3 linked regions of the Oryzias latipes genome follow. The protein of the gene in region 3 interacts with the protein of the main gene of each other region in a biochemical or structural test. Links are inferred from orthologs where the notes say so. Each region holds a gene or a part of one and is shown on either strand. Other genes may lie near its edges.

Region 1 (6,475 bases), on a different chromosome or scaffold from region 3:
AGAGAAAAATACAAAGAAATCACTAAAAATATAACTTAAAATTAAACAAGATACAAAGAATTTTCATCAATCTCGTTTAGTCTGATTCTTCAATAAAATATAAAGATAATAAAATGAGATAATTTAGAAAAGATAAATCCAAGCAAGCCATTGTCGGAAAATATAAATTGCTGACCACATGAGAATGTACTTAAGGATGTCACATCTGCAACACCTAAGAAGCAGCAATAAAAATGCACTTCTATTTAAACTGCACGTTCAATTGATAAAAAAAATCCTGCATTATATAAAAGTTATCATTTATTTATGTTGATTTAATACAGCTGGATGCTACTGTGCCATTTATGCTAGATTTTCAGTTAGAAATTTGCATTGCTGGGGGTCAGGAGGATATTCAAACGAATGCTATGCTGCTAGAACAAAAATACAACATTGAGTTTCAAAGTTTTTGTCGCCAAGCTTAAAGAAAAGAAGAAAAAAAGTTTTACTGTAGGTAATATAAAGGCACATTAAATCAAGGTACGATCGTATCATGACTGATAAAATATAAAATTGCAACTCTTACTAATTATTATACAGAAATAAGGAGATAACTTTACGTTAACGGTTAGCAAGAGGTAATGCCTCGAACTTAGCGTTGATTAAAGGCTGTAAAAACGCGATCATTACGCTAAAAGTACTCCGTACTATTTTTAAAATCATGTTTTGGTTCCGCGAATAAAAAACAACTTTTAAAAAAGAAAGAAAATCAACCACAACCAGGGTGTTTTTGACGATCTAACACCGGAGCAAGCTAGCAAAAACTCCCCTTAGCTGTTAGCAATACGCTCGGTCATCTGTCTTACCATCTTCGAAAATGAGATCTTTTTGGTGAATGGTTGTTTACTGGAATGGGATAAAACGAAGCTTTTTCTGCTACTATTTGAGAAAAAGTATTTTGTAGAAACTTAATCACAAAAAAAACCCTGATTACTGTCCTTTTCGCTTTAACGTTGACACAGGAACAAAAATACGATCCTCGATTTAACCTGCTGATATTAACCAATAGCCGTCTTAGCAAGTTGACGCGTATGAAGTTCCTAACCAATCACAATCTAGATTTTCTATTACGTCATGATAGAAAAAATATATAAGCCAATCAGAGTGTAAAGAGAGCTGATGCTGGTGAGCCATAGGCCCGTTTGAAAAACTCAAACTACCGATCGATACTGACAGGAAATAAACCACAATCAAGAATATCGGGTATATTAGATTAGCTAATATAATTCAATCAATAGCAGTGAGCATTTTTATAACGTGAAAAATACATTTAAAACAAATATTCCTAATTATATTTTAATATAATTGTTTAAGCAAATAAGTGAGCTGTATTTCTGAAGCACCTTTTTATGCATTTTCTAAACACTCCCTGTGGCGGTTGTTGGAGTCTATTCTAACTACCCCCAGGTGTGGTACACCCTGGACTGTCTGAGCCACACAACCACATACACTCACATTCATTACTTTTAACCTTTCCTAAACAAATGCATGTTAGCTTTTTTATAAAAGGACACAACAGAGTCAATCAGGGACACTGACAGGATAAGGGCATTCAATAAACATGGTGCCTCAACCTGAGGACAGCTTTCCTGGTTTTGGAGCAGGATTTTGGACTAACAAAAAAAATTGTAGGCCAATAATAATATTAAATGACTGTCCATCATACAAATACCAATAATTTAGTGGTGTGTCCTAAATATCTATGAACATAAAAACAAACCCCGCAACTATCAGACAATAGAACGCTATTTTAGCATTGCTGTGATCTAATGCTTGTTTTTGCACAATTTGATTTTGAAACATTGTACTCAAAACTGGCTTATGTTCTGTGAGAAATCTTTAAAAAATGTTATGCAGGTCTTTGTACATCTCAAAGTTTCCTGTGCATTTATGAAGGAAGAAACAGCGCCAAATGCAAAATAGCACACAAACAGATAACCCAATAGTGTCCTCAGGACCTCTTGTGCAAAAATCAAACATATAACTGGGAATGGTAACCAATTTGGACACAACATTGATAGAGACAATGTAGATAAAACAGGGTTTTTTTTTAATCTCAAAAGGAAGGTAGGAGAGGATAAGAAGGTCTTTTTATTACCATTCTACAAAGCTCAACAGAAATCACTGTAAATGAGACAACAGACATAACTTTAAAAAAAATCAGAACATGATACACTAACATTCAACAATTTTGACAAAGAACAACTTCAGTTCTAAATTCAACACATAACATACATTAAAAGATTTGTAAAAGGTTCAGAATAGCAACATCTGACACAATATCAGACTAAAAAATAACTGATGGAGTGCTCATGGCATCTTCAAATTATCTAATTTGTTATTAAATATTGTTCTATGAATATCTCTCCTTTCATTGGTCCTGTATGGCTGAAATGTGTTCACTCAAAACAGAAAGGTTCAACAATGGAGTTTCATCTTACATTTTGCTGCCTTTGTAATGGCTATCAACTTGTATCTCTTGGATTGAACACAGTATTTCCTGCTCAGAGCAGTTTTGCTTTCACTGAATATGATGTTATCCAGTCAATCACAGATATAGTAGACATGTTGCATTCTAGGAAAATGTAACATTATCATCAACATTCATGAATATCATCACAAGTAATTTCTCCATCAAAAAAATTCTTAAGTTGAAAGACAATAATCCATATGAAATATTTCGTGTTTTATTTTTTAATATAAATGTGTATTGTTTTTCTTTTAGAGAAAAAATATCTGAAAGTCTGTCTTCACCTCCTCTCTGCCACAACTGAAATTAATAAAGCTGCCACTAGATGACGTTGCAAGCTTACATTATTGCTATTTTGACCTGCTTAAAAACATTAAAAACAATCGCGCGGACTACCAGAAATATTTTTTTGCGTTTATTTAGTGCTATATGTACTTGGTAAATAAAAGAAAATTCGTGTTTCGGTGTTGCTCTGTGGGACTCTTTAAGCATGGGGGCGTGTTTTTTGTAGAACAACAACACGACAAAGACTCTGCTTCCGGTTTCTGGATGTAGCTGACGGACTCCAGCGTCAATAAAACGTGGATTTGCTTTATCAGCAGGTAACGAGCTCCGTTTCATTGTAATGGCGTGACAATAGTTCGCGCTGCTGCTACTTTCTAAACCACTTTTTGAGCGGCCAGCTGGTGAACTTCCACCAGGGTGTCATAGTTAGCTTCTTTTCAGGTAAGAAGATAAGAACTACTGTACTAGCTGGTGCTAACCTCTCATATTATATCTGATGCTAGCTAGCATGAGTGACGTGTGTATTCTGGTTTTGTTGACGTCCACGTTTTTGTGTTTGAAACGGAAAGCGATAGAATGAGCGAAGCCGAGGTGTTTCATGAGAAGCAACGGTTGGAGCTGTGCGCCATTCACGCGCTCAACAACGTGCTTCAGGAGCGAGTGTTTACCAAGGAGACGGCTGACGACATCTGTAAACGGTAACAACGTGCTGACATGATCTTGTACCCATTCTCTCAATTTAAAAAAAAGCATATATTGAAACACATTGGATGTATTGTAATGTGTGGTACTTGTAGTTTCCTTGTTTATGTTCGTGTTTAAGGCTTAAAACAAAACAAAACAAACAAAAACAGTCTCGATTTCCCCAGGTCATCATAGTTGAATATTTACACTTACTGGCCAATTTTATGTGGTACAACTTGCTAGTCCCGTGTTGGACCCCCTTTTGCCTTCACAACTGCCTGAAACCTTTGTGGCTTAGATTCAACAAGACTGTGGTGTTGGAACCATGCTCAGCTGGTACTAAGGGTTCCAAGGTGTGCAAAGAAAAGATCCCCCACACCATTACACCTCCACCACCAGCCTGAACTGTTGATACAAGGCAGAATGGATCCACGCTTTCGTGTTGTTGACGGCAAATTCTGACACTACAATCTGAATGTTGCTGCAGAAATGGAGACTAATCATACCAGGCAAGGTGCACGATTTTAGAATCAGTTTCCTGTTCTTAGCTGACAGGAGTGGTACCCGTTGAGGTCTTCTGCTGCTGTACCCCATCTGCCTCATGATTGGACGTGTTGTGCGTTCAGAGATGCTCTTCTGCAGAACTTGGTAACCAGTGGTTATTTGAGTTACTGTTACTTTCCTATCAGCTGGAACCAGTCTGGCCATTCTCTTCTGACATCAACAAGGCATTTCCACCCACAAAACTGCTGCTCACTGGATATTTTCCCTACAAACCCTAGAGATGGTTGTAGGTACAGTGATGAAAGTCTTCCGGGAATTCCCGGAAATCCGGGTTTTTGAGCAAACCGAACGTACTTTCCGGGAAATAAAGACCTGATCTCTACGGACAAATCGCTTTCCGGATTAAAAAATGGTCTGAAATCAGCTAATTTTAGCTTTATTTTCTATATTTCTCAGCAGATCGCTTCCTCTATGGTCGTGGCCATCTCTCGTCTTCCCGGCCTAATTGACCAATGACGGGACGTTTTAGTTGCTTTCGGATGCGTCGACGGGTCCGATTGGCTCTGTCTGCACCACGTGGTCAGCGTGACTCGCTTCCCTAGAGACCAAAACTGGCGGACCCACGCTAAATTTTCACAAACACATCTGAAGAGTTTGCGATCAAATTTGTGTTAAAATAATGGCAGGCATCGTCATTATTGAGCGTGGTCACGACCTCAGTTGTGAGAAGACGATAAAAAACAAATTGAAGTGGTCTTGGCTGGAAAAAAAAGATTTTTAAGGTAGTGTAGGTCAAATACTTTTTTGTGTAAAATAATCTCAAAACCACATTTTGAAATAATTTCAATTTTAGTTTTGAGTTTCAGTTTTTATTTTGAATACATTTCTCTATCTAATTTATTTGTATTTCCTAATTACCATGATTTAGTTCAGTATAGTTGACATTAATTATAAGTATTTGATGGTTTGGACCCGCACTCCCTTAAAAAATAATGTTTACAATGTTTAGTTTAGTTTGTATGTTTGTTTTGATATTTCCCAGATTACTTAGTATTGGTGTTAAAGAATTGATGTATTATGTTATAGAATTATAGTTTAAAGCAGATCCCATATTTTGATGTAATTATAGTTTGAGAAAACAGTGCAAGTGGATGTTGTACATCAGTCATTTCTAAAGCAGAAATAATGTATAAATAACTGAGGTATTTTCATAGAATATCATAGTTACTGGTGTTCTTTTTGCCATTTGGGGCTTTGATGTTACTATATTTTAGCAATTGTATGTTTTGCAGCTTTAAGGAAAAGCGTAGATTGTAGGATTGTGTTACTTTGAGCAATTTTCCAAATTCTTTTTTAGGACCAGCAAGTCCTTAATGGAGAGTCAAACTAGGGGTTTGAATGACAAATCATGATGCTCCAATTAGTCTTAGTTTCTTGATAAAGAAGTGAATAACTAGTTGCCAGAATGCATCTAAGACCACGTATTTTTCCAAAATTTCGCTCTGTGCCCGCCATATCGCTCAAAGAAAAGTTCAGGGATTTTTTCCTTGCCTGACTTTCATCACTGTAGGTAAAAATCCTAGCAGGTCACTTTGAAAGTCACTACAATCACCTTTCTTCCACATTCTGATCCTCGGCTTGAACTGCAGCAGATTGTGTTGACCATGAATGCCTAAACGCATTGACTTTCTGCCATGTGATTGGCTCAGTGCAAATTTGTTACCGGGCAGTTGGATGGGTGTACCTAACAAAGTGCCCAGTGAGCGTACATATCTTTTTTTTTTTTTCTGCAAAAACTTCCATCTGAATTTAAATGGATAATGTTTCTTTCAAGTCTGACCAATAAAATAAAAGCTAAACACACCCAGATGTTTATACTGTTTATATTTTTCTGGAACAAAATAATGATTGTATTTCAAACAAATAGATAACTCTTCTGCAGAGATGAAGCCACAGACAAAGTGCAGGTCTGGAGAGGCTTGTGGTTTACATCAGGACCATTAACATAATTGAGCTTGAGTTAAATTGAGTCACAGTCTTGGTGGCTTTTGGCAATCAAATTAAGCCGGACTGAGGGGCATGAGTTGCCAGACAGGGATGAAAAGGGGACATCCCTTTATAAAAATGTTGTCTTCTTTGCAGGCTGGCTCCACAGTGTGTGGTTAACCCCCATCGATCAGTGTTAGGAACAGGAAACTATGATGTTAATGTTATTATGGCAGCGCTACAGAGCAGGGAGCTGGCTGCAGTGTGGTGGGACAAACGCAGGTCAGTTCACACTCCGATCCCTGTTCATTCACAAACCTGTCTTTTTTTTTTTTTAAATTAAAGACCCTCTCAGATTATCTTTTGTTCTATTTTACACCTGTGTTGTTTTCTAGGACATAGTTTCTGCAGAGCAGTATGAGTATTAGAAATTTGCCTCAGAGCTATGGGCGGGACTGTTGGTGTGATACAAACCCCGCCTCCCTTGTGGCCCATGTCACAAATAAG
Region 2 (6,222 bases), on a different chromosome or scaffold from region 3:
AAATCATTTTACCTGCATTGTGCTTGTAGGACTGGTTAAGGTGAATAATCCAGTCAATGTTGGGTATTTCTGTTAAAAATATGCAAAGTATTGATTAACATAGTTCCAATAACTCAGTTTTTAAACAATATGACACATTTAAAGATTTTTTAAATGCACAAAAAGTAAACATAGCATAACATCTGACCTGGATTGTTTTGTTTCAAACTGCAACAATTTAGAATTTAATTCCTATGCCTTTTTTTTAATGGCATTTTTTCACATCGTTTCAGTTATGAGTGTAGTACAGTGTTTGTTTTCTAAAAGCACCAGCCTTGCATGTGACTAATGTGTTTGGCCACTTTGATAGCATAAGATGCTGAAATCAAAATGTTCTTTTGTGAAACCAAGCGCCGACCCACTTTGGGATGCAGGAGGCACCAGGTCAGAGCAGGGTCACAGTCAAAAAGCAACGTGTTTTTGAGCTTATCGGCACCGCGATCGGACTTTAGGTGTGGACTCTAAAAGGAAGCCTTTATTGTGGAGGCCTTCCGTGAGGAGACCTCAATTCTGCAGGTCTGCTTAAACACAGACATCAGATAACGTGTCACATGCCTGCTTTTGTCTTTCTTCCAAGTGTCTCACAGTTAAAAAAAAAAAAAAAAAAATGATGTACAAAACAGGCTAACAAGTTCATAAATAAACTTCCAAGTTTAATTAAATTATTTTCAAGTGGTTTAAGTCTATTAAAGAAAGTGTGATTCCAGTGGTTTAGAGCTCAAAGATAATGTTTTTTGTGTTAACTTTTCTTGAATTTTTCCCCCAAATATAAACAATTACAGCAATTTTCTACCCAAATATTAGTGTATCGGCAGCACATGGCACGACACCACAGAAAATTTATGTTCCAAATGATCAAAATAACGTCACTTATAACGATCAAATGATCAAAATAACGATCAAAATAACGTCACGTCTTTGTCGTTTTTCTTCATAAAATTACATAGTTGGGGTGTAATTACATTTTTTGCCGTTTAAAGGTTTCATTATGTAAAATCAATCAGGACTGAACATGTGCTCCTAAGCCAGCTCTACATAAACAAAAGAAAGCAGATATATTAGAGATTTTACAGCAGAAGTTTTTGAATCATCCTTTTCTTTTTTTGCAAAAATGTAAAAAAAATTGTTCTAATGATTTATTGTAATCACTACAATTCTGATGGGCCTGTATAGATGTGGTGACGCATTCAAGGTGTACTCCGCCTTTGGCCTTAAAAAAATTAAGGGATAGGCTCCAGCCAGCATCTTTTTGACCCCCGTGCAGGCTCTCAGAGAGATGAGCCTTAAACATTTGATCTATGGCAGGTTAAATTTATTGTATTTGAGAATTTAATGTTATAAATTCTTTCAGTATTTTTTGAAAGTATGTCCTTTGCTTATTTTTATGGCTGTCATTTGCTGTTTCAGCCACAAGAGGCTGCAACTTGTCCACAAATACAGTATGATAATCTTCAGTTTTCACATCTGAGACAGTTAAAAATCCTGACAAACTTTAGCAATAAAAGGCAGAAAATCAAAGAAGCCCTGCATGTGTTCTGTAAAAAAAGGCCTATGTTTGAAAAATTAAATATATATTTACATCCAGGAAAAATCCTTTGTTTGACGTCTTTAAAAATGTATTTTATTTTTGTAGTTCTAGATAACACTTTTTTTTAAATAAGTACAGTTATTAAATTAAAAAAAGAAATTCTCTTTTAATGGCCTTTTTTTTTACAAAGTGTGAAAAAGTGTAAAAGTTTAACATTGCAACAAGTAGAGATAATACAAAAAAACACTTTTTTTTGTTGGTACTTTTGGGATAAATATGGATCAACATATATTTAAAAACGTGTTATATTTGTCGGTTATTTGAATTTACTCCTTCACAGCGTCGTTAGCACGCAACGGCGGAACATAAAAAAGAGAGGGGGGCCCTACTTTGTGCGTGAGTCTCCCGCGGCCCCTGGAAAACCATTAAACGCAGAGGACTTCTCCCAGAATTCCCGCATTCCTGGGATTTCTCCACTCTGATGTCAGAACAGTGGGGGCGGGGCTCTGAAGGCGTCTGGACCCAATGAGGCGTTCACGTACACCATCAACGCTACCAGCGCTACCAAAAGAGTTTTCAATTTATTAAATTTCAAGCAAATAGCATATATTGGCTACAGTAAAATTTTTTAAGGAAATATGAAATTTAAAATCTAATTATGGTTAAACACAGAGGTGTTCTGAGGTTATTTGTTTATATCATTACACAACTTTATTTTAGTTGCAATTTTAAATGACCAAGTGCAAAAAAGGTGCTTTGAAATAAAAAGGAAAGAGATGTATACATAAACATAATAAGAAAATATAAAAATCATATGGCAATGAACTAAAAAAAAGAAGAAAAGAAAGAACAAGGAAAATCCAATATCCAAAATATAATGAAAAAAAAAAACAATTAAAAAAACTGCATAAATGAAAGATGGGTAAAATTCTCATAAACACAATTTTTAACCCGAAATTTGTTTCAAAAAAACAAAATTGAAAGCACAGATTAAATACACATTTTTATTTAATTTATGAATAATATAAAGTTATGACTAATGATGTAAGAATGCATGAGAAATGTACTTAAAAAATATTTAGAAAAACACCGATTAAAAAAATAAAAAGGAACACGTTTAGTAAAAATCCTTATTCCGATTATTTTCTTGGGTTTTGAACGCAGCGTATTCTGTATTCCCCGCCCGCCCTGAACGCCTCCATTGGACTGCAGGGACCGCTACTATAAACACACGAAGAGTTGCAGCGAGAGAAGAGCACATCTTTGGCCGATCTGCACGACTTTTACCAAAGTTTTGCGCAGTTTTTGTGCGCCATGAGAGCATCAGAACAAAAGAAGTTCCGAAAAAGCACCAGCTTGGGGACGCGCAGCAGCTTTGGTGGCGTTTTCTCTCAATCATTTTTCTCTCTTGTGAAGTTTGAAAAGACTTTCGACATCTCTGCTCCCCAGTCGGAATTTTAAACTGCTTTAAAAAAAAAAGGCTCTTCTGAGGATTAAACCCACTCCGCGGCGAATCGCCTCCAAAACCGAGGAGATTTGGAATGTAGCGCAAAGGAAAAAAGAAAAAAGAAAAAAAAAAGGTGAGTTTGAGTTCTGAGGAAAAAGTTGGACATTTGTGTTTTAACTATTTGAAGTTCGTAGCAAGGATGTGTTGACTTTGAAAAAAAAAATAGAGGAAACGCTAACTGTGTAAATCAGTCTTGATGATACAAACATTTAAGTTAAATTAAGTATCACGGGAGAAATGACTCTCCCCTCATAGATCAACACAGATAAACACACAGTTTGGACTCAGGCTGGGTAAAGATGCTCACAAAAAGATGCGAAATGGAAGAAAACTGATGACTTTTAGGGGGATCAATCAGAAAGTGTCATATTTTACCTAAAGAAAACCCATCAGAGATTGTGGTGGTCCCACATGGAGCCCGGGAACTGATCCAGTCAGGGTAAGTGAATGCACACAGGTGTGTCTGGAACATGTGGAGCTGAGTTTGAGCAGAGCTGCTGATGTTTTTCTGTTGGTCTCTCACACCCTGGCATTCATGTTTGTGTAGAAGATGTGTTTGGACATGCATTTCTATGGACTGCCACTTCAAACAGGCAGAGAGGCAGGCAGGCAGGCAGGGAGGGAGGAGGTGGTGGTGGTGGTGGTGGTGGTGGGGTTGCTGTGTGCTCTGAAATGGAAAAGAAAGGATAGTTACAGCACGCGCGCATCTGGTTATCTTTATGAGCTCAAAGGCACGCTGTTTAAATTACATAGTGACTTGGGAGTACACCCATGTGAAGAATTTAAAGGACTAAAACATGTGAAGCATGAGCACCTATCCACTTCCTGCTCCACACACTCCATGGAGGTGGCTGAGGTGGTTCTGCAGCAGCAGCAGAGGAAAGCAGCTGAAATGTGCCGTTCCTGATTTTCACTGAAGGTCAATCCCCACAATAGGTGTTTACTGGATGCTGCCGCCCGGCAGTTAACAGCCTGAGCGGTTATTGTTTGTGCAGCCAATTGTTATTTAAGGACATAGGCCGTTTGATTATAGTGTGGTGCAAACATAAATGTCATTTTGGCCGAATGCTTTTGGCAAGCAGAAGAAAACGGGCATCAGTGGTCACTGTTATCACTAAAGCACCACTCCGGCCACTGTTGAAGAAACAGACGGACCGAACGGTTGGTCCAAATGGGGATCAATAGAAGCATTTTTGCCTCCCCATACTGCCAAGGATGGCGGCTTTGAATAGAGCGCAGAGAGCACACTGACGGGTCTGTCAGTGACATGGCGTCTGATTACCAACAAGACCATCACATGTGGACTCGTCTGACCTCAGAACACTGTTCCACTTTGAAACGGCTCCTTTTTAAATGAATCTTGACCTAATGACACACTGCTTCTGGGCCCTGTGGCTTCCTTTCTGCAGGATGGAGCTTTTGGGCTCACCCTCAAACCTTTCTGCTTCCTTGAATCATTTGGCAGCATCATCGACACAATCACAAGGAATGTTGTCTTAAATTGTCCCTGACACACAGAGATTTCTTCAGTTTCTCTAAATTGTTTGTTTATCTTCTGCTTTGTAGAAAATAAAACTTCTAACCCATCTACAGTTTGGTGTTGAGGAATGTTTTTTAAAAGTATTTAAAGGCCGTGTTTTTAGTTATTTTTTTACCATGTTCTTGTGGTGTTTTTCTCATGAGGAAATATTGAAAAAAAATCTAGCTTAAAGTTTCAATTCTGAATTTTTTTTTTTAATTAAAATATTTGTGAATCAGGAGGGGAGCCGGTTTAGCTCGTGCTGGTTTGCGGCGCCTTCCGTCCGTGAAAACCAGGGTTCGACTTCGGGCTGCTCCCTGTTCCCTTCTGTGCCGGTCCCAAGCCCGTTTGCTTTGAGAGGGTTGCGTCAGGAAGGGCATCCGGCGTAAAACATTGCCAAGTTTACTATGCGACTCGTTCGCTGTGGCGACCCCTGATGGGAAAAGCCAAAAGAGAAACATTTGTGAATCAGGAGTCCTTAGACTGCCTTCTCCGCTCCCTTCTGATGCATCCATGTTGATCTTTGTTTTTCCTCGTCTGAGCTGGAATCTGGCTCAAAACCGTACAGCTGGATAGCTTCAATATTGCTCGCCATTTCGCCATGCAGCAATAATGTTTGGTTGGGGTTGTGAGGGGCTGCACGCTAGCCAAAGAGCACGTAAACGGATGGATGAAGGGAAGGGGGATGTCTTACGCCGCACCCACTGTTCTGCCCACAACTCAGAGGCAAAATTTCTGATGGACTACTGCTGCTCTGCAGAAACTATGTTCTATAGAACCACACAGGTTTTTTGATTTAGGCTAAAAACGGCATAATCATAATTAAGAGACGACTGGGAACGCTTTGAAAATGGATCATAAGATGATCCGAGTGGGACTCTAACAGTTATTAAAACACTTTTGATGTAAATCTTGTTGCTTAAGGATTAAAAGACCACCTCCACCTCTGTAATCATCCTCCAGATCTCCTCACCCCCCCTTTCCCCCATTCTTCTGTGCCCTTACCCCCTGTCACTGACATCCCTTCCTTCTTTCCTCTTCTTCTTTTCTGTCCAGTCCAACGAAAAAAAAAAAAAGAAAATACAAATGTTCGTTCATTCATTCATCTTCTGTATAGTTAGCTCCCGTTCGGGGTCACATGGCTGCTGGAGCCTATCCCTGCCACTTTTGGGTGAAGGCTGGGGTCGTCAGTCTGCCGCAGGACCACGATCACACACCCATGCACACGCACATTCACAAACAAATGTAATGAATATAAATCAAGTTTAGCCTAAATTACAGAAGTGGTTTACACAAATGCACATATTGTGTGTCAGAAGATCCACAACCTTCTGTTTTAACAGCAAAATATGTCCAACACTTTTACAGATCAAATGGCCTCTTTCATTCTTTTCATTCCAATACTCTGCCTCTACAAGACATTCATTTTTATGATAATTGTGTCACAGACCTGACATCAATTAACCTAAGTAATTTTTTAACGTCGTGGCTTCAGATTGGAAATAAACTTCATTAGTTGATGAAGAAGATGCTGTTTGGTTTAGGGTTTTAGTTGATTTATATATTTACTCTATTAAATAAAAACATCACAACTTTTTTTTTTTTTTGCTTGTGGGTCAGGGGCAGATT
Region 3 (6,306 bases):
CATGTAGAAACAAACAGGTGGAAATGCTAATTAGGTGAAGAAATGTAAAGGTGCACAAACATGAACAACTCCTACACCAAAGGTAGAAAACTCATGCACATTTGCCCTCAAACCATTAATAGTTTTGTACACTCTGATGCACATAATTACATTTAATTCTTTAAACTGCTCAATAGCCAGAAACCCAACAAGAAGAGGCAAGAGTGTTGGAAGTGGATTTCCCAGAGGTGCAAGTTTAAGCTTGTGCTGCTGTCCCTGCTGAAGTTAAATCTCAGCATTCATTCTTTCTAACACCATTCATATCAGCTGTATTATATCTTTCATAAAAGGGTCATTTGATCAAGTGTTTTATGAGTCTAATAAATTGTTTTTCGTTGAATACTCATCTAAAATAACGGGGATTTTTTAAGAGTCAGTTAGAAAAAAGTGGAGAAAAATATAGAAAAATAACAAATCTTAATGAATTATTAGGCATTTAATTTCAAACACCCTCTAAAAAAACGATTTTTTTGTATTTTTAAATACTTATGGAAGAGTTAAGATAAAATAAAAACTTTTTTAAAAGTTTTCGTAGTTGCTGTGAGTAACCACTAGGTGGCGCTTGGGTCTGCCTGTTCCCTCAGCCACTCTTTTTGGTGACCTAATCTCAAACTATCAGATCAAGTGTTAAATAAAGAGCTGGTTTGCTTCTCTTAGGAAAACAAAACTGTTCGGTTTGATGAGTTTATAAAAAAAACACAACAAAAACAAAAAAAACAAAGTGTCCCATAACATCTTTAAGGGGAATGAAGTCATATGGATAAGGAGTGGCTGCTAGGTGGGTGGTCTGCCTGGTGCTGCAAGACACTGAGGTCCATCACTTGCTGTGTCTGAGTCAGTGACAGAGAACGAAGTAAAAAAAGGAAAAAGGCCACTTTCCCTCGTTTAATGGAAATTTCGAGACAGGCAGCACGTGCTCTCAGAATGTTTTATGTCTTATTTGAAATCTGGAAAGTGGTGACATTTACAAGGAAAGCCTTTACTGGAAACACAAACTCACAGTGGTGATCAAATGAAGGACTTTTTTATTGCATTATCAATTTATAAAAACCTAAAAACATTTCAAAGTCCAGATTTGAAAAAAAAAAAAAAAGCCATTTAGGTTTTGAATTGGATGCTGGTTTTTGCATAATTAATAAAACAAATTTGTGTCTAAACTAACAAACGTGATCATCTACCCACCAAAACAATGGCCGCTCTTTAATCTGCAGCTTTCTTTAGGTATGTATTAGGGCTTCATAATCATTTATTCACTCATTGTATGGGACAGAGATGCTTCTGTATCTAGAGAAGGAGGTTCTTGACAAAATGATTTCTCAATGGAAGAGGGGCCTCATTAGCATAACAATTGTGGGAACTTGCATGGCTCTACTTTACATACAGTGTAAAAAGAAAAAAGAAAGAAGAGATTGTTCCATTTCCCTCAGCGATTGAAAGAAAATTGTTCTTTTCAAGATTCTTGGGAAAAATCGTGGCACCTTTTATGTTCGCAGCTATTTTCTAAAGTGGACTTTCTGCAGGCCTTTTCTGGATCAAATCTGTCTGTGTGTGAAGCACAGAGATGAGTTTAATTCAACAGATTTATCAGGATTTTAATGTCGCATTTGGGGGTTTTCTTCTTGTCAATAGGTCTGTTTAGTTGTACAGAGCAACCTCTGGTCAATATAGGCGTCTCATTTCAGGCTTCATTTTTGTCTATTAGAAATTTGTGTTTGACATCATAGATGGTCACTTCACTGTTTGTGTATGTTTATCGCTAATTATACAAAAAAAAAAATGTTCCTTAATGAAATAAAAAACAGACCATTTCAAAACACTCCCCTGTAAAACAAACTTATCATAAATGGAAAACAAAGTAGCATACGTCAACAAACAAGGGATCCTGGAAAACCTCTTAATTCAATGTTTAAAGTTCCTTTTTGTTTTTTTTTAGAGGGGAGTCGATAGAAAATGATCTGCCTCTGAAACCAGCTTCTACTGGTCATTTTAGGAACTGCAACATTTAATATTTTCAGGAATTCTTACATTTGGTAACTGGATATTTTAATTAAAAGCAAAAAAAAAAAAAAAAAAAGAAATCAAAGAACAAAGGGACCCTGGGAATCTACCTGTAGGGTGTAAATTTGTGGTTTTTCAAATTGGAGAGTCATTGGAAAATCCCCTACCTCTGAAACCAGCCTCTAGTGGTCATTTTAGGAACTGCAGTATTTAGTTCTTTAGGGTTTGTCTCACATTTGGTAACTGGACGCTTAAATTCAAAGCAAAAAACATTTTTTTAAACTGATCCTGGGAAGCACATCTGTAAATTTAGGGTCTAAATTTGTAGTTTCGTAGGAGGGGAGTCAATAGAAAACGACCTCCCTCTGATACCAGCCTCTAGTGGTCATTTTTGAAACTACAACATTTTCTTTTATTGTTATTTTAATATTTTCTTAAAGATCGAGGTAAATAGAAATAAAAGCTATATTTTATAATTTTGTTGTATACTTCATAATTGCTATTTTGTCGCAGTCTTAAGTTTAATGCTTTTTTGCAGGATAAATGGGTCTCAGGATAACTGCCTGTACCTTTAACTCATCCCAGTTGGAGTGTGGCCCCGCCCCCTTTGCGCAGACGTCCCATGAGCCATAAAGTTTTATGTCCTGCTCAAAGTTTAGGCTAACAGGAGGAAACTTTTTTTCGGGGCAGTGAGCGGCACAGATTTGCGCTGAGTCTGCCTTGGAAAATTCCTGGGGAGGAAAAAGTTTTGAAACTTTTCCGAAATTGGGAATGCCGGGACTTCTTTTTACTGCCTGAACTTTGGTGGTGTTACCTTTTTTTTTTTTTTTTTCACCAACTTTTGCGGCACTTTTTTTCTGAAGGGGGGGGGAGTAAAAGCTGGGTCCGGACGACAATACAGATTCCAGAGTGGAGCAGATATGCGCTTTGTTTTATGTACAAGTATGTCAGCTGGGAAAAGCCAAGGAAAGCGGCCTTTCTCTGCTGATTTTGACAGCTAACATCGTTCGAAAACAGCCTCGCGGCGGTCCGCTCGAAAAAGTAGACCGACGTTAAAAAGTCATGACTTTGCAAAACTTTTACTAAGTTTCGTTAGAAGTTAAAGATTTGACAAAAAAAAAAAAAAAGTTCGGGGACGGCTCGAACCGCCTTTGAAAAGTTTCGTAACTCAACGTTTTCGGGCCGCAAAGAGTTCGCAGAGCGCTTGTGGAACAATGGATCCGAGCCAGCACAACCCTCCTGTCGGACACCAGATCGTTCACGTTCGGGGCGACTCGGAAACGGACCTGGAGGCGCTTTTCAACGCCGTGATGAACCCCAAGGGCGCCGTCGTGCCCCAGTCCGTGCCCATGAGGATGAGGAAGCTGCCGGACTCCTTCTTCAAGCCCCCGGAGCCCAAGTCCCATTCCAGACAAGTAAGACCCCCCCCCTCCAATCCCGCGGGGGCCCCGGCCTAAACACGGCCACCTCTGCTCAAAACAACCGCTCCATCTAGTTTTTTTGTTAAAATCACGATTTTAGTCCGTTTTTTTAAATGTATTGTAAGCGCAAATTATAATTTTAATTAAAAGAAAATCATCAAAACATTAAAAAAAAGTTTAAACGTTTTGCAAGAAATGTGGATACATTTATTTGAACATAAAACTTTATTGCGAAACTTTGTTAATTCATTTATAAACAGTCATTTAAAGGTTAGTTAGATATACTTTTTATTTTATTTTAATACAGCTTCAATATAGAAATCATATGATGATTGGATTTACCCCATCAACCCCTCCCTCCCAATTTCCCCTTTCGACTGCTTACCGAAGTTTTGTAACTAGTGCGCATGCGCCGTGCAGGCCCTCTGGTGCCTTGGATTATCTCTGTGGGCCCTGACACAAGTTGGATGCACATCCAGATGACTCAACAGTGTTCAAGTCTGACTTAATGATCATTTTTTTTTCATTTTTTAGAGATTTTTCATTATGCTGCTGTTTTATAATACAGTCCAAAATGAATCACTGTGATACTCCTCATTGGGACAAACAAGATAAATAATGTCTTTGTCTTTGTCGCTAATAAACTAGATATAATGCAGAAGTACTGCAAATTTTTTTTTTGGGGGGGGGGGTCCTAGACAAACAAAAAACAAAAAAAAACTAAATAAAACCCCCACCTGCCAACTTTACTATTTGTTGTTTATCCCCCCCATATATGTTTACATTTCAAATAAAAAAGCTTGTCTTTATGCATTTATTTTTGAAAGCACGCATAAACTGTAATAAAAACTAGAAGAACTTCAGAAGAAGACTAAACAATTCCAAACCCAGCCCACAAAACATACAGTTTATAGATATTAGGAAACGAGACAAAACATGTATGTAGTCACAGATGATCATTCAATGAAAAATACAGTTTATAGGGGACTAAAGCAAGCAGGTCCTCTAAAGGTACATGAAAATATGTGACATTTAGTTATCAATGTATTGAAACAATGTAAAAAAATAAATAAAACATCTTCTTTGTAACTCAGGCTAGCACTGATGCTGGGAGTGGCGGCGTGCTCACCCCCCACCACGTACGCGCACACTCGTCTCCAGCTTCCCTGCAGCTGGGCGCCGTTTCGGGTGGCTCCCTGTCTGGGATGGCCTCAGCAGGCGCCTCCCCCCAACATCTCCGGCAGTCGTCCTACGAGATTCCCGACGACGTGCCCCTGCCGCCAGGCTGGGAGATGGCCAAGACCAGCTCCGGCCAGAGATACTTTCTCAAGTAAGTGTGCAATCTAACAGCGTGTGCATAAAAGTGAACGGGGCTGGAATCGAAAACGGGTGGACAGCAGACGGTAACATCTGGACACCAAAATGGGTCTCGTTTCTTCGTCGAGAGGAGTACGAACTCAAAGCCTGGAGGCATTTAAAAACTGTCAAGGTTCCATAACCTTTCTTCCAAAACATAATTTGCAGAATGCACCTGTTAATGGGACTCTAATGTTCCACCGATTAGGTTAACGCCCATAAAAAAACGGACCAAAGCGAGTCCAACAGATGTGGAACAGGTGTTGTTTTCGTCCAACCTGCAGAACATCTGTTGCACAGACTGTACATGCGAGGCACTGAATGCCCCATCGAGTGTGGCTTTCAAAATATCCCCGTGTGATGAGTTGCACCCAAACATTCAAAGAGTTCTCCCAGCAGATCTTTGATTTCTGCGCCAGGGTCCACGTGCAGCAAAGACCTCCAGAAATCCTTCTGGTTCTCTTTGGTTTCAAGATGGCGGCGGACATCATCGGGCCGGAAGCAGAAATCATACAACTAATCCTAACCCAAAAGTGTTCGGAATTGTAGCCAAAACTTCTACCAAGGCTTCAAATGAGAGAAATCGTAACTGTTGTCAGTTAAAATGAAAATTCTCTGAGCGATAATGGTGGACTTTCCAAGGACTTCTGGTTCTGGACATCCATGTCTGCAGCCAGGCATCAAACCTAAGCTGGCCTATGCAGTGGGCTTTCACCTGGAAGTAACAGAAAACCCTGATCAAACAGAGCAACCACAAACAATTTGGGACAAAACTAGTTTTCTCAATTTCACGCAGCGTTGATTGGGTTTTAATTTCCATGACGTGTTTTCCTTTCTAATCCAAGGAAGTCTTTATCAACCAAAAATGTATTTATAGATGGGTTACAATTCATAACCATTTGAAGTCCACCTCAGTACTGAATGTACTAAGTGCACATAGTCTGAGTGTTATTTAGTTCATTGCCCCATGTTAGACCAAGTTGGTGCCAGCTACTCCGTTTATGAGATATCAAAATGAAAAAAGCCAACAAACATGGTCTGTTGAGGAGTTCAGCTGGGGGCCTTATCTCCACCCAGTCACCCTTCTTTCTGTAAATCTGTTTACCTCTTATTTTGATTTGGTTAAACGGTTCATATATATGCATATTTGTAATTATGTTTAGTATTTTAGTGTGTTTCTTTGGTACTCATTGTGAATAATCATTCTTGTTGTCTGCATTTGCATAGCTTTGGTTTTCCATCCACCTAAAATCTGTTGTTGCCTGGAAATTTCTGGAAAATATTGCAGTCATTAAAGCTGGTAAAAAAACACAAAAAAGACAAAGAAAAACCTCCAAAACATTGAGTCAAGGAATTAGGGTGACTTTGTAAGTTAAAACAAAATGTCAGGAAAAGTTCAGGATCAACATTTTGGAGGTTTTAGCCCCCAGTAAAGCCAGAGAAATGTTCCCTGTCCCTCAAAGGACGGCTCTGTTCAGCGTGCATCGTGCTG

What was found. The genes of interacting proteins can lie anywhere in the genome.
Region 1: of the proteins of yap1 (region 3) and josd2, one has a biochemical effect on the other in vitro, tested with the Homo sapiens proteins (2 studies listed by BioGRID). The link is inferred for Oryzias latipes from reciprocal best matches to the Homo sapiens genes YAP1 and JOSD2.
Region 2: the proteins of yap1 (region 3) and ptpn14 form a complex in vitro, tested with the Homo sapiens proteins (3 studies listed by BioGRID and IntAct, with this or other methods). The link is inferred for Oryzias latipes from reciprocal best matches to the Homo sapiens genes YAP1 and PTPN14.

Annotation. Positions count from the first base shown.
Region 1 is NC_019874.2:19,499,558-19,506,032, reverse strand, and holds the start of josd2 (josephin-2), read left to right. Parts: upstream 1-3,003; 5' UTR 3,004-3,111; exon of another isoform or gene 3,112-3,235; intron 3,236-3,363; 5' UTR 3,364-3,370; coding exon 3,371-3,492; intron 3,493-6,124; coding exon 6,125-6,250; intron 6,251-6,475. Other genes in the region: ube2s (ubiquitin-conjugating enzyme E2 S), read right to left, coding at 846-848. UniProt on the Homo sapiens protein: Cleaves 'Lys-63'-linked poly-ubiquitin chains, and with lesser efficiency 'Lys-48'-linked poly-ubiquitin chains (in vitro). May act as a deubiquitinating enzyme.
Region 2 is NC_019882.2:9,164,743-9,170,964, forward strand, and holds the start of ptpn14 (tyrosine-protein phosphatase non-receptor type 14), read left to right. Parts: upstream 1-2,750; 5' UTR 2,751-3,147; intron 3,148-6,222. UniProt on the Homo sapiens protein: Protein tyrosine phosphatase which may play a role in the regulation of lymphangiogenesis, cell-cell adhesion, cell-matrix adhesion, cell migration, cell growth and also regulates TGF-beta gene expression, thereby modulating epithelial-mesenchymal transition.
Region 3 is NC_019871.2:6,487,199-6,493,504, forward strand, and holds the start of yap1 (transcriptional coactivator YAP1), read left to right. Parts: upstream 1-2,655; 5' UTR 2,656-3,251; coding exon 3,252-3,452; intron 3,453-4,552; coding exon 4,553-4,788; intron 4,789-6,306. UniProt on the Homo sapiens protein: Transcriptional regulator with dual roles as a coactivator and corepressor. Critical downstream regulatory target in the Hippo signaling pathway, crucial for organ size control and tumor suppression by restricting proliferation and promoting apoptosis.